Struthio camelus: one gene and its partner. The protein of the gene in region 1 interacts with the protein of each later gene in a pairwise test. Links are inferred from orthologs where the notes say so. Each region holds a gene or a part of one and is shown in the gene's direction. Other genes may lie near its edges.

Region 1 (7,143 bases):
AGTTTCAGTGCTTTGAAACCTATGCTGTTTCCCTTCCTCTGCAGTGCATGCTAAACACTAGACATTGACAGTATTTTTTTTACTAGTGATGGAGACAAAGCTTTGATCAGTTTTCTGTACACATAGCTTTTGCACTCCAAGTTAGCCTAAGCATCTCTAAGATTAACATCTTGCCAATACTAATATTCAACTGAAATTTATTTTGATAACTGTTGAACAGTCTTTAATCTTGGCTTCGCTGAAAGGTGGAGCTACATAACTGAGTCTTTACATGCCTACATATATATGTACACATGCATAGGATATAAGCTGCTTTCAGTTACATACTGTACAGTATTTATTCCTTAAATGTGATATTTATCATCCAGTATGGGTGCTGGTACAGAAATTCATTTTCAAATCGTACACAGTGTAAATTTGGATATTATCCCTGAATTATTTTGTATAAATCCTCCCGCTGGGATTCAGACATTAATAGTTCCAGTTTAACTAGCTCGATTAAAACATTTTAAAGAGGTTTTGGAAAAATTTGGATCATTTGCCTCCACTCTGTTTGTGTTTTTCACTTTTCATACCCTGCATTTTGTAGTTCCAGCTGGGAGAAAAAGTGCTGTGTTACAGCTTTCTGCGCAGTATTTTTGGCCAAATCAAAAGAAGGAAGTACCAGAAAGTTCACAGACGAGCCGATTCTTGTCAGACTTCTTGTCCAATTTTACAGATCAAATGATTCAGCTAAGATTTGGCTAAGCATCTATATTATAAAATTTCTTTAGCAATGCCTGGAAAACTTACATTATGGGCATTTTTTGGTAAATGAGATTCATTCTTCTTGCATACAACTTGTCCTTTAAGATAATTAAGATGGCAAGATAATTCACTTAGATATTTTAAACAAACAGTTCCTTCCCCCAAAAATAATTTGCAGAATTGCCATAGGCTAGATTAAACCTATTGAATTTGTAGGCTAACCCCCTCCTTCCTTTGAGAGATGTGAGAAATTGCCAAGTATATGTCACTGGGCCAAAACACCGTACAAAACCCAGGTTGTTCAATAATTCAAACAGTATGGACAAAAAGGACTTTGCTATGTAGTATTTTAGCTGAAAGAATAAGAGGGATATGAGTATGACGAAAGATAAGTTAAAGAAACCACTAAATACGAAATCAAAGAAAAGCAGCTTCAGCACATAAATGAATATTTTACCTAATTTCGGAGCAACAGAGGTAGGTACTCCAGTTCTATTCCAGTCCTCATAGATCCTGGAAATGGGATTGCTTAGTGAAACAAAATAATTTGGAAGTAAACTGAGAATTTAAAATTTTAATTAAAATTAGCATAGCACTTTAGGGATATAATCTTCACTTTAGGGATATAATCTTAATAGTATTAAAGTAATTAGCACCTTTTGGTTCATCTCATCACATGAGAAGCTTCCTACTGACAGCCTCAGACTATGGTAGATTCTTAACTGCTCTAAATTTAGATAGTTTTATTGGATTTATGAGTATTTAGAGGTAGCCATGAGGTGTTTTCATCAGGCACTTACTCCACTACACTCTATTTGGATACACTGCTGTTACAAACAACCTGGAACCCCAAATTGCTCTGATTTGTCTTGTCTTCCAGTAATACACAAACCTAGAATATAAATGAATTAAAGTTTTAATTAAAAAGGTTGAGCTGTTTGTTATATCATTGGAACAAAAGATTACCAACAACCTCATTCCAGGATCTTTAGTTGCTTAGCTTGGATTCTCCAAAGCACAGCCCAGGTGTCAGGACTGAGAATTCTGTGCTCACAATGAACACTCCAAAGGTTAGCCTCTTTTCTGAACTAATTATTTTTGTCAAATCTGTGAATAAACTCTGAGAGTTAATGACAGTTTTCACAGAAGGAACAAATGCAATCTGCATGTACTGCTGGAGCTGGGGCTTACTTAAAACTGCTAGTGTGCCTGATGCTCTCTTTGGAGCTATGTGTTAGGAGATTTAAAGGTAGTTTCTCATCCTTCATTCATACTTAATCAGCCACAGGATTGGATGCATGATCTATCTGTAATTGCCATTCCTGGCTCTTTTAGAGGCAATGTCCTAAAATGTGTAATGACTTGTTCTTCTTTGAGCCTAACCAGCTGGCTGGTTGATCAGTCCCAAAGAATACAGACAGTATAGCTCACAGAAGACCTGTTGACAATGTGGAAACCAATTATTTAATACAAGATAGGGTTCAAACACTCTCTGTTCATTTCACAATCTCTTGTATATAACTGTGTATAAATGTATATACCACATTCAAAATCTTATGAGCACAGATGGCAGATGCGGTTAACAGGGCCAGAAGATCAGCTCTCCTTCCTAAGCTTTTACTGTGACTATCAGAGTTTCAGCCAGCAAAATAGCTATCTCAATCACCGTGCACAGTTCATTATATATTTTTAAAGTTACACATCAGATGCGCATCCAGCAAATAAGTGTTTCTTTCTATTGCTGTTCTCCTGAAACGCCAAGGGCGAAGTTGCATGAGATGGCAGAATTATCTGCATTTTGCTACCACTCCCTGAAAGGAAAGGTCTCGTTTTCTTTTAACACTGCCCCTCCCTTATACACAGACTCTGGTGTTCAATGCACACTTCAGCTGATTTGATTCAGCTCATTACCCAAAGAGGAAAAACTCCCTCCTCTAAGGTTAGTTGTCTGCCAGGATGGCAATTTGAATTGCCTCAAGGATGGGTTCACCGAGAACAAGTGATAAACTGAGTTCACCAGCTGGTGGTGAAGGGTGAGAGGGAGGTGGAAAAGCCTTTCGACGAAGCAAGCTATTGGAGTGGTCCATACCGTCTTCATTTTGGGACCCCACACCTAAATGGTTTGATTAGTGCTCTGAAATTAGCCACAGCGGAAAATAACATGAGCAACTTCTCAGAGATAAAAAAAAAAAAAAGAGGTTGATTGTTTTACAGTTAGGGAATTATTCCGGATGAACACTTGGAAACCTACTGACCATTCCCTTTTTCCTTAGAGTCTGATACCCCTAAGTTTCTTTGGCCGAGAGAAACAGAGTAGACCTTCTTATAACCTAAACATGAGAGCAAATAGAAAGCAGTGGTAGGTATTGCTGAACAAAAGAAAACATCACCATAGGTCAGCACAGGAGGCACATATACAGCAAGGGCATCTTTGGAAAATACCAACATTACTGTATGGTGAAGAACTTCAATGAATAACCTGCTTCATTGTCACTAAATACTGGTATTACTTTTCTGCTCAAGCTGACTGTGATCCCCTATTGTTTTAATGATACGAATTTTCTATTATGTCTTTATTCTCATATCATGTGTTAACTATTTAAACACTCTCCTATCCATTGTTACCCTATGATCAGAGGAAACCCCATCTTTCACCTTGTCTGGGTTTACTGGTGAGCTGTACCACCAGTACACCAGTTATTGCAAAATCATCAAAGTGAACATTCAGCCGAGCTTAATTCTTATAAATCTTCTCATGTTAAATATCCTGTCAAAACCAAACAAATAAAAGGCAGAAGTGAGAGATACTGCTATTTAAGAGACTTGTTCAAGCGAAAAGTTACTTGTTTAGTAAAGGCCCGTTACAGTCAGCTTTCCAAACACATTTCATGAATGTTTTCAACATATCTTTATTAAAAATGATTTTTTTATATTTATTTTTATATTATCCTTTTTATATTACAGACGTATTTTTTAAGTTTTGAATATATCCATGAGATACGCAGTACAATCCTGGAAAACCCTAAGGAAAAGCACTGATAAAATCTGAATGAAACTATCAGTTTATAAAATACGATTACAGAGATGATAGTGGCAGAGCACTAAGCAGCATTAACTGAAACACTAACGTTAAGACAGGCCGCAGCTAAGGTTCCCCGTACTCCCTTAGCTCCTTTTGCAGTAAGGTACAGAAATCTTTCGTAACTTGATTGCCCAGGCTCATTCACTGCTCGTGACTTTTATCCGACCCTCCATCATCCAAAAAACGCCCCAAAAAATAAAAAAAAATCAGTTTCCTTGCGGATATTTCTCCTTATTTGGCTGCCTGACGGCTGGGGAAGACCTTTCCCCTCCACAGCCCGTTATCCAAGGCCTTGTTTTCAGACAGGTCGGTGCGGCAGCGTGAGCCCCGGCCGCAACGGGGGCCTTTTGCCAAACGCACTAGAAGAACAAGGGCGAAGGCAGCACCGCGGTGCTTCAGCAGCCGCCCTTACAAAGACGCGGAAGGAGGCCGGTAGAGGCGGGGGGACCTGCGCCCGCCGCCGCCGCCACAGCTCGCCTTCCCCCCCCGCCCCCCCAACCCCGCACCTCGCTCGGACTACACTTCCCATGGCGCATTGCGGCAGGGGCCGGGGCGCTGCACATGCGCACAGCGGCCAGCGCCTTGCCGGAGCCGGCGGGCGGGTTTGTTTCCGGGCGGTGGTCAGAGGTCGGGCGCGCAGCGCGAGGGCCTTGCGGGGGGCGGCGGGGCTGTCGGCCGCCCCTCGGCCGCGGGGCGGCGGGGCGATGGATGAGGACGGGCTGCCCATCGTGGGCTCCGGCATTGACCTCACCAAGGTACGGGGCGCCGGCCGCCGCGGAGGCCGCAGCTGGCCCGGCCCGGCCCGGCCCGGCCCGGCCGCGGCTGCGCTGACCCTGGTGCTGGGCGGGCCGGGTGCTGCCGCCCGAGGCCCCGGCGTGGGGGGTTGGGGGCGCCCGGCCGCCGCCCCCGGGGCGCAGAGTGGTATGCGAAAGTAACTTCGTCCCTGCAGCGGAGGCGCCCGGCAGGCCCGGCGGTTTGTCTCGTCTTGAGCTGTGTCTGCGAGGGGACAGTCTTGCGCTCTTCCAGAGGCGCTTGGCTGCAAGTAACAGCGTCGTGTTTACGGGTTAAACCGTGTCGGGCTTCGAACTGTGAAACAAACCCTATGCAAAGCTGCCTACCTTGGTCTTTTAGTGATTAAAACAAAAAAAAAAAAAAAACCCACGTTATTAGCTTTGTTTATGAAATATCAAGCATAAGGATTGGACAGTTCCAGGCCTGATGATTCCCCTTCCTTCCATCCATCTTCCTAGCCCCGTAACTTTCTGATAAGGATTTGACCGCTGTTTGATGGTTTTGGAGCTACAGAATTGAACTTTAGGAGATCTTGGACTACAGGTGAACAGATTGACAACTGAAGCGATAGTAACAACAATCTCACAAAAAATCAGGATGTTTTCATGTTGGCAAAGGTAGTGAATGGCTGCACTGACAGGTGGGAGTGCAGCAAACAAGTAGCAACCGTAAGTGCTTGCTGAACAGCTAATCCTGTCAATGTAGTCGTACTCAGGTGCTGATTAAGACAAACTGTGGTTCAGTGCAGCTAAAGCTTTGCTACAAATGTTTTTCCTTGTAAGTGCTCTGCTTGAATCAATTAAGATTCCCTGTGTAACTTCTTATGTGGAATTTAAGACTTTTCACTATTGTCCAAAAATGAACTCTGAAGCCCTGTAATTTTATAGGCAAACATTTGTGTGAATGTTCTCGGTTTGCATCTTTTCTAATGGTTTAAATAAAAATGCCAGCTATTTGTTGCAAATGAACACCACACCTGTTTTCGACAAATATAACCTTCTACACCTTTTAGCCTGAAAAGTACATGTGCATGAACCTCCCACTTGGAAGAGCGACACTGAAGTCTAATTTTAGGATAATCTTAGCTTGAAAAAAATATATAGGTATTCAGTAAAGACAGACAGCAATTTCACTACTCCTTATTTTTGATTGTGAAGTATTGATGATAGTTTTAACTGAGTACTTACATGGATGGACAGGTTTTCTTTTTCCTCCTTAAACTTCCAAAAGAGAGGTTCTGACCTGCTCTCTCTCTCTTTTTTTTTTTTTTAATTTTAATGCTGATTTTCAAGGGTTTTCATAATTTCATTCAAAAGCATTTGCTTAAATAAGGTAACTGTCCTTCAGTTATGTGAATATTCCCTTTTCCATGTATCTTTTAACTTTTCAAGTATGACATTAGTAAATTTTTAATGAAAAAGAATTTGTATATCTATAAGCAATGAATAAACATATATATATGTATATATATATGCATTCATATCAGGCACGCTTAGGGCTTACTTCTAAAATAATTTCTTCTAAAATACTTGCAGTTTTTTATAACTATCTTAGTCTAGATGTGAGAGTTGATGCCTGTGTATAAGCTAATTTTCTTATATTGTTTAATGCAGGTTCCTGCTATTCAGCAGAAAAGAACTGTAGCATTTCTAAACCAGTTTGTGGTTCACACCGTACAGTTTCTCAACCGATTTTCTACTGTTTGTGAAGAGGTATGTTTATTGTTTCCCATTTGTCAATTTGTATAGATGAAAAAACAAATTCAGAAATGAGAACCATTCAATTTGATACGTTTTGCTGCAAGATGGCCAGGTAGCTTAAACCAGAAAATTTAATCGATGCAGTGTTTCTCTTGAGTGAAGACGTAAGACAGATTTTTTTTTTCCAAGTTACCCATGTGAATTGCTGATTGTACCAGACTGATAACCTTTTTCCTTAAACTTTTGCATTTGGCACAGTCTTTGGACTTTTTTCTGAGCAGCTCCATTTGTGGATATGCTCTTCTTTTGGAAGAAGAATGCCTTCTTTCTATGCTGCTGGATCTATTTTGAAAGTCAGTATTCATCTCATCCTACGATGCACATCAAAATTTTCTTGCAAATATTTTCCACCTTTACTTTGAAAGGGTGATATGCTAAGCTCTGCATGTAAATGATATTCATGTGAAAAAAAGACGTTTTTGGCAAGTGATTAGCATGGAACATGAGGCAGTTGATTTTAGTGTTTTCTCAGAAAGAGAAAAGTAAAAACAGTAAAAGCTGACAAGTTTTTATGGTGAATTTAGTGTCCAAGAAAACATACCAGACTGACAGTACTAGAATTGATCACAGAACAGGTCTAGAGTGTTTCATCCCTTGTAGAAAGGTTGGTTTCTAATGTGGCTTTAAGCTTAACCTTTTTATCATGAGGGTTTTTTTGTAACTGTTGACTCGCTTACTCAACAAAGACTACTATACAGCCCTAGCCAGCAGCAATTGTCATATCCAATTAGACTAAGCCGTGTAATCTGAGAAATTTTGTTA
Region 2 (7,580 bases), on another chromosome or scaffold:
TAATTGGTACCACTAAAGGTAATAATGTATAATCTATTCTTTGCCCTTTTACAGACTAGTCTCTGAGCACAGTGGTTATAACTTGTCCTGGCCCTAGAGATATCAGTAAGGAATGTGTTAACATTCCCATAGATTATAAAGCAGGTATTATTAGACCACTAATATTAGCATACATTGTCATAGTTTGGCACTGTTTCTGATTGCTTTCTGCTGCTGAAAGCTTGGTGAATCCAAGGGAAGAATGATGTAACATCCTTCTCCTTCCAGCACCTTGGCAATAGTTTTGAAAGAGTTGTTTTGTCGTTGTTGACCACTAACAAGCCTTTCCCTCCTGAAAAATACGGCTTACAAAAGCTTTTCCTCTCTCAGTCACAAAAGGGCTCAGTAGCAATGCTAAGGAGATAGTGCTCTGAAATACCTGTGTGCAAGAATGAAGTGAAGGGAGGCGAGGAATGGCAAAAGCCATTTGTTTTAGTTTCTGAAGCATAATCTGAAAAAAAGCACACTGAATTATCCCTGTTTTGCTACAAATCACTTTCCTATTTATTCTAGTCCTAGTTTTGCTGGTCCCATAATTTTTGATATATCCAGTTAAATATCATTCACATGAATCATGCTACTGAGCATTTACTTTTCCCTTGGCAGTTGCTAAGTGCCGTTCTTCGTTTAATAAGTCCCAACCTCGTGTATGTTTGACAGTCTCTAAGGAGTGTTCTTCCTCTGAAAGTAGTAACTGAGTTCTGTTTGTTACATTTTTATATTTTCTCAAGAATTTCTGCCACGAGCCACTCAGGCTGCAATCGAGATATTAACATTTAATTCTCCAGATTTTATTGTAATTCCTTTGACTTGAATACCAAAAAATTTATTTGTGATTTTAAATGCTGAGGCAGTACCTTAAGCTTCATAAACTGAGCACACTCAAATGAGGGAACAGGCAAGAATGGCTGCAGTAGTTTGAGTGGACGGTCATTATATGAATAACATTCAGAGCCATTGCAAGTCATTGGGGAGCCAAAATAAGATCTGATAGTCAAAGTAATTAAAGTATAATTGCTATTTATTGCTTTCACAGAATCACAGAACGGTTTAGGTTGGAAGGGACCTCTGGAGATCATCTAGTCCAACCTCCCTGCTCAAGCAGGGCCCTCTAGAGCATATTGCCCAGGATCACATCCAGACGGGTTTTGAATATCTCCAGGGAAGGAGACTCCACCACCTCTCTGGGCAACCTGTTCCAATGCTCTGTCACCCTCACAGTAAAGAAGTTTTTTCTCAGCTTTAGATGGAACTTCCTGTGGTTCAGTTTCTGCCCATTCATGTATTCTGCTTTACAGAACACATAAACATAATAATATAATCTTTTCTCAATTATTAATACTGAGCTAAGGCACCAGTTCTACCAGGAACGTGGTCCTCTGCATTTTAAACAAGATGTAATTCTAAGACCACAACTGCCTGAGGTCATTAAAGAAGCCACAACGCTGTTTTTGGTAAGAACAGAGTAGACGCAGGTGTCCTTGCAAAAATTGCCTTTGGGAAATTTTATCTTAACTTATCTTTTTATTTCATTAGATGCCTCCCAATCCCTGTTTCATGATTACAGGAAAAGAGGTCTAATAGCAAATATACAATTAATTCTGCAGTATTAACTACTTAAAGTAATTTTGTCTTTAACTGGCACAAAAAAAAAAAAAAGCTGCTAAATTAACAGCCTTTCTTTAAGTGGTTACTTGATGAGAATTATTTTGAGCCTTATCTTACATCACTAAAGTAAATAGGAATTGAACTACATCTACAGATGCCAGTACCCGAAATCCCTATCAGGTTTTCACATAGGGAAAGTTCATTTTCAGTTCTTTGGAAAACTGAAAATGTGCCTGCTTTAATGCAAAGCCTGATCATGACTTACTGCTACTTGAGGATCAATCATTTTGCACTGGAATTACATGTCCCCATATTTCAAATGAATTCATTAACTGTTTTTAAATCAATCTTTTTAAATTCCTTTGATTTTAAGGAACATAACAGCCTCTTTGTAAATTCTAAAAGTCCTCCTTCTCTGTACACTTTTAATTAAGACTTTATCATTAAAAAGCTAGCAAGAGAATTCAGCCTTCTACAGCTCCATTCATTTTAGTAATCTCCGAGCATTACTGTGAAGGATCATTAATCCTACCACTCCTCCTGGCACAGCATTTTCTCTCAGGCCAGTCTTACAAAGAAAAGGACACAACCCCCCTGAAACTTTAAGTTAGCCATTGTTTACCTATGCCATGCTAGGAAGTAAATGAATAATGACAATGTTTTATCCTGCCATTAAAGAAAAAATCTTAAAAGTTCTAAGAAGTATGCAGCCGCTCAACATTTTTTTTTAAATTTTAATGGCCCAAGGACCCATTATGTAGTTTGATCTGACTCCCTGCATAACAGGAAAGATGGTTACATCAGTTTTGCAGACAGGCATTTTAAGCAATATGTCAAAGGCATCTAGCGTTTGTCTATACCCTAAAATGGAACATGGTGTAGCAATGCTTGAGTTAGAAGAGGCATGAGCTGAATCAATACAGTTCCATATCTGGACTTGCCACACTTGGTAGCAGCATGATCATATTTACAAAGTGCTGAAGCCAAACAAATAAGGCTGAATTCTCCATGTCAAGCTGCAACAACTTCATCTAGGAAAAAAAAGCTGCAGAATGAGGCCAGTCCCTATTTTCTCCTGTTAAACAATGGAAAAGTAAGAAAGGCATGTGCATTGTCATCCACTGTTGTGGGTGGGTAGAGGACCTTGGGCCATATGAATCTCCTGGCAGGCATCTAGCTCATATCTGTAGCCTTGACACCCCTGTCTAGCGACTAGAAGAGACAGAAATGGTCTGTCCAACGGCTTGAGGCATCAGCTCATTTTCTGGCAGCTACCCTCCTTTCTAGACTACTCAGGGAGCTGCAAATACTGAGAAGATAACCAGATATAGCAATATACTTTTACCAGTAGAGAGCACCCTCAGCTCAGAGCAAGAAGACACAAGTGCACAAGCCAGACCTCTCCTGCTCTGCATCTGCCTCTCCCCACTGCCATGGCTTCTTGGCCACCCCGAGCAGCACGTGGGGCACACAGGAGAGGAACCATGGCAGTGAGCACCACGTTGTCTCCCTGTAGTCCTATGCTCAAAGGGCACAGGGGAAGATATGGTCTCCAGATTTGCTACGCCACATCCTTCAGGGTCTGAAGCCAGGGAACAGCCACAGTCCGACCCCGTGGGCACCACCATCTGCCCCCTGACTCATGTCAGCATTCAGGTGAGTTGAAAAATTTGCACTAAGATGTGCTCTTCGAGACCAGATATAAGGACCTTTTTGAAGTGATAGGTTATGTGCTTCAAGTAACAGTCAAAAAACCAGCCATCTTTTGTAAACATATCAAACAAATAAATAGGAGTTAATTTCTTAGCTCTTCTCAAAACTGAAAGCTGTATTTACTTTTCAACAGACAAAAAACTTTCCCCAAACTGGCACTAAATAGTTCTTACACTACTACCACAGCGTTCCAAAAGGCAGCATTTCACAGACCTAGAAGCTATGTTTACTTTTCAACAGACAACAAAATTTCCCCAAATTGACACTAAATTGTTCTTATATGACTACTGCAGTTCCAAAAGGCACATTAATAATGCAAATACACAGCAGCTCACATTTGCTGCTCGTTAGGGGATAAGGCAGAGCTTTCGGCTTTCAGCAGAAATGAGCCATCTGAGAACCATCTACCGCTAACGGAGACCGTTCTTCATCTACAAATTCATATTCAACGTTTTTGTTAACTGCAGTTGAGATCATACCTCAGTACTATCATGCCATACAAACATCAACTCATTTCACTAAAGAAAGTTATAAATGGATAGGTTTGGGTCTAAAAAGCCTATAAACCTCCCCCGAGGACATCTATCCTGCACCCATCCCCACTGCAAAAGCCTCCCCCACGAAGCTTTGCAGTATTTTACGGACTACGTCATTAATCTGTGGCAGAGGGGAATTTAGGCTAATGCACGCAACTCCGTTATTTGTGCTTTCTGTCATGAAGGCAGCAATATATTTATTTTCGTCATCAACCCACTTATGTAACATTTCTGGCTTTCACTGCTAATCCGTAACGGTTCCCCAGTGAACACAGATTACCTGCGAACACTCGCTAACCGGGCTTAACTGCTCGTTTACGTTTTCCTTTTACGTTAGGCAGGAAAGAGGGTAAAAGCCTCGCCAGAGAGGCCCATATGCGAGGCTACAAAAATACACTTGTAATCTCTGCAAAGTTGTAAAGTCATTTTTAAGAGCATCAGCAAAACTACTAAATCTCCGCACGACAAAAGCCTTTCCTCTAAGCACGAGGAAAACCCGCGGGATTACGCTCAAGCTTAACGCTCGGGCAACGAGAGGCCTTTAACGCCCTCGCGGCCCAGCCGGCCTCGGGCCGCGGCGTTGCCGCCGCGCGTCACTTCCGGGCGGCCCGGACTACGTTTCCCAGAATGCCCCAGGGACTCTTCTCGCGAGAGCTCGCGGCGGAAGTGACGACAGCGGCCCGGAAGTGCCGCTGCCTTGGAGACGGGAGCTGGGCCCTCGAGCGCCCGCCGAGCCGCTGCAGCCGCCGCGCCCCGGAGACCATGGCCGAGACCGACCCCAAGACCGTGCAGGACCTCACCGCCGTGGTGAGGCCGCCGCGCCCGAGCCCCGCCGCGGAGGGCCGGGGGGGTCGCGGAGCCCCGCCGCGGAGGGGCGGGCGGGTCGGCCGAGGCCTGCTCGAGGAGCGCTAGGGCTGGGCCTCGCCCCGGGCCGGCCGCCGGGGGCTTCCTCCCTTCCAGCCCCGCTGGAAATCGCCTTGGCCGCAGGGTTGTGTCCGCTGGAGCGTGCGCGGCCAGAGCAGCTCGGATCCGCCTCTGTGTGTGCGGAGAGGTTGCAAGGAGGGGTTATCGGGGGCGGGGGGCGGGTGCGAGCAAGGGTTTGGGAGTGCAGAGAGAAAGGCTTGTCTTTTCTCAGGTTGTTATTTTGATACTGAAAAGAGCGTCAGCGCGTGATTAACGTAGCTCGCTGGAAGCAACTGCTGTGGGTGTAGCTCTGGTTGTGGCACTCGGGCATTTTCTAGAACACTAAAATTGTTTACTGTGAGCCTCAGTTCTCTTGTTCATGATATGATAGTTAAATTGGGAAATAAACCATAGAGTTTTTCATTGTTGAGCTCAACCATGAAACAAAACTTTATGCTTGCCTTGTTTCATATTCTAATAAAATGAGATTAAATACAGTAATAATTCCTTCAATGCGAAAAAAAAAAAACCAGACTTTTTTTTCTTTCTATCAGGTGCAGACATTGCTTCAGCAAATGCAGGACAAATTTCAAACCATGTCTGACCAAATCATTGGAAGAAATATCCTTTTTTAAAGTCAGATAGCTATTATACCCTATGGATGCACAAGAATTCTTATGTATGTTTGAAGTGGGATTTGCAAGACATTGAAAGTGAGCGTAAGAGTTTGAGCAAAGCCATAATCAAAAAAAAAAAAAAAAGCTTGCAGTCATATTCCTTAACTCCAGTTAACTTGATGACATGAGCTGTCGCATAGATGACCTGGAGAAAAACATAGCAGACCTCATGACACAAGCAGGAGTGGAAGAATTAGAAGGCGAAAACAAGGCCCCTGCTACTAACAAGAGTTAAAGTGAGACAGTTGTTTGTTAGTCTTGAAACAGATCCTCTCCTCACTTGAAATTATTGACTTTGAAGCAGACAATATTTTGTCCTTTGACTTGTGAGGCAGTCTGAAATTTGAAATTCATGTGGAGTAGCTCTGTACTTTATGATACAAAAAACAGGATGCTGATCTGCTCTCTTCAGCCGTTCCTACTTCACCAATGATGTTTCCTTCACCAATAATGGATGAAAGTTCCCTTTTCTCCATTTCTAGTTAGTTAATGAGGAAATATAGTAGTTGTATTCACCTTCTGTTATTCACTTGCTCTGGTACTCTTAGTAAGATCTGAAATAATGACACAGGAAGGGGAAGAGATGAGAAGAACTTAGAACATCAGTAACAAAGTGAGCTGATCTTTTCTCCCTTCTCTCTGCGCATTTGAGTCTTCTGAAAAGGACCATAATCTCATGCATGTTTCCACCCTCTGCTCTGATTTTTATAGCTAGAAAGTTACTGTTGACTTGGTGCTACTCTTCCATCTTCAGCTGCATAGTGTAGACTCTAGCTCCCGATAAGCTCCTAAAGCCTCCAGAACCTGCTGGTGCGCACAGGGGCTGATGAGTGAGTTACTATCAGTCACCTCTAAACCTGGAACAGGTTGCCCAGAGAGGCTGTGGAGTCTCCTTTCCTGGAGATATTCAAAACCCACCTGGCCACGATCCTGTGCTGTAGATGACCCTGCTTGAGCAGGGGGGTTGGACTAGGTGATCTCCAGAGGTCCCTTCCAACCTTGGCTGTTCTGTGATTCTCCTATGTAAGTTAGGAACTTGCTGTGATTACATGACTCAGTTGTGTTACTGCACAGCAGCAGGTGCTGACTCCGACAATGAATATACTAGAATGCTTAAACATAAGGCGAGGCATATTCTAAGGGAACTTGCCCTGGAAAAAGAAATCTTGTATAGAAAGGTAAATGTGGTGTTTGTTCTTACCATGCAACTTCTTGATTGATAATGTCTCCCTGTATTGTTAGGCAAAAACATGAGAGAAGCAGATCTTTCATCTACTTGAAAAGCAGCAGGTAAAAGTCTAGCACAGCAACATGTAAATGAATTTAAGTGACCAAGTAACACACACACACACAACGTTTACAAGGCTTGCTAAAGGCATTTCAGAGGATGGTGGCAATGCAAGACTTCTAAAACTGTCAGAGCATAAACAAAGCACGCTGGAGGGCTTAATTATTGTATACAAGTAGTGATATTTCACTTCAGTATGCGCAAAACTTGATTTTTGTAATCCATGGAAAGCAACTGTTAAATAGAGTACCAGATGTATCCTGTTAGCTTAACATAGTGTCTTAAGGTGGCTAATAAGACACTTCTTAGATAACCTGTCTTATGCCTGAAATTCTGAGGTCGGTTCTGCAATACTATGCAGTCTGTATAATTGGAATGTGTGTCTCAGGCAGGTATAGATCTTGCCTTGTTAAAGTACCTATTCTTTGTGATACTCTGATAAAATATAGATTATTATGGGCTTTATTGTGCCCAGAAGCTAACTTTATTCTCTCAGCCTGAACCCCACAAATACAATTTTTGATACGTTGTGCTTTCTACCCCCCTCAGGAGTGTGGAAATTTTGCTGATGCCTGATTTTATTGATCCTTCACTAACTGCACTGTTTCTGATGAACATGCTTCTCTAATTCGTCTCAGTAATTTTTTTTTATCTTTCCCCAACAGGTTGCCAATAACTTAAGATGAATGCTGGAACACTTTTTTTTTTTTTTTTTTTTTTGTCTTTTTCCCAAACAAGCCCTTGAAATTACAGAACAGCTTTTTGCAACTACAATGTGTAAAAGCATTTTTATATTGTTATGGAGCTTGCATTCCT

Evidence for each region.
Region 2: the proteins of WASHC3 (region 1) and HSBP1 interact in binary tests that used the Homo sapiens proteins (3 or more experiments, as listed by UniProt). The two-hybrid records come from large-scale screens. The link is inferred for Struthio camelus from reciprocal best matches to the Homo sapiens genes WASHC3 and HSBP1.

The regions. Positions count from the first base shown.
Region 1 is NC_090942.1:63,564,134-63,571,276, forward strand, and holds the start of WASHC3 (WASH complex subunit 3), read left to right. Parts: upstream 1-4,107; 5' UTR 4,108-4,356; coding exon 4,357-4,584; intron 4,585-6,234; coding exon 6,235-6,333; intron 6,334-7,143. UniProt on the Homo sapiens protein: Acts as a component of the WASH core complex that functions as a nucleation-promoting factor (NPF) at the surface of endosomes, where it recruits and activates the Arp2/3 complex to induce actin polymerization, playing a key role in the fission of tubules that serve as transport intermediates during endosome sorting.
Region 2 is NC_090951.1:4,839,921-4,847,500, forward strand, and holds the start of HSBP1 (heat shock factor-binding protein 1), read left to right. Parts: upstream 1-4,545; 5' UTR 4,546-4,658; coding exon 4,659-4,703; intron 4,704-5,353; coding exon 5,354-5,420; intron 5,421-5,592; coding exon 5,593-5,711; 3' UTR 5,712-5,712; intron 5,713-6,718; 3' UTR 6,719-6,766; intron 6,767-7,429; 3' UTR 7,430-7,580. UniProt on the Homo sapiens protein: Negative regulator of the heat shock response. Negatively affects HSF1 DNA-binding activity. May have a role in the suppression of the activation of the stress response during the aging process.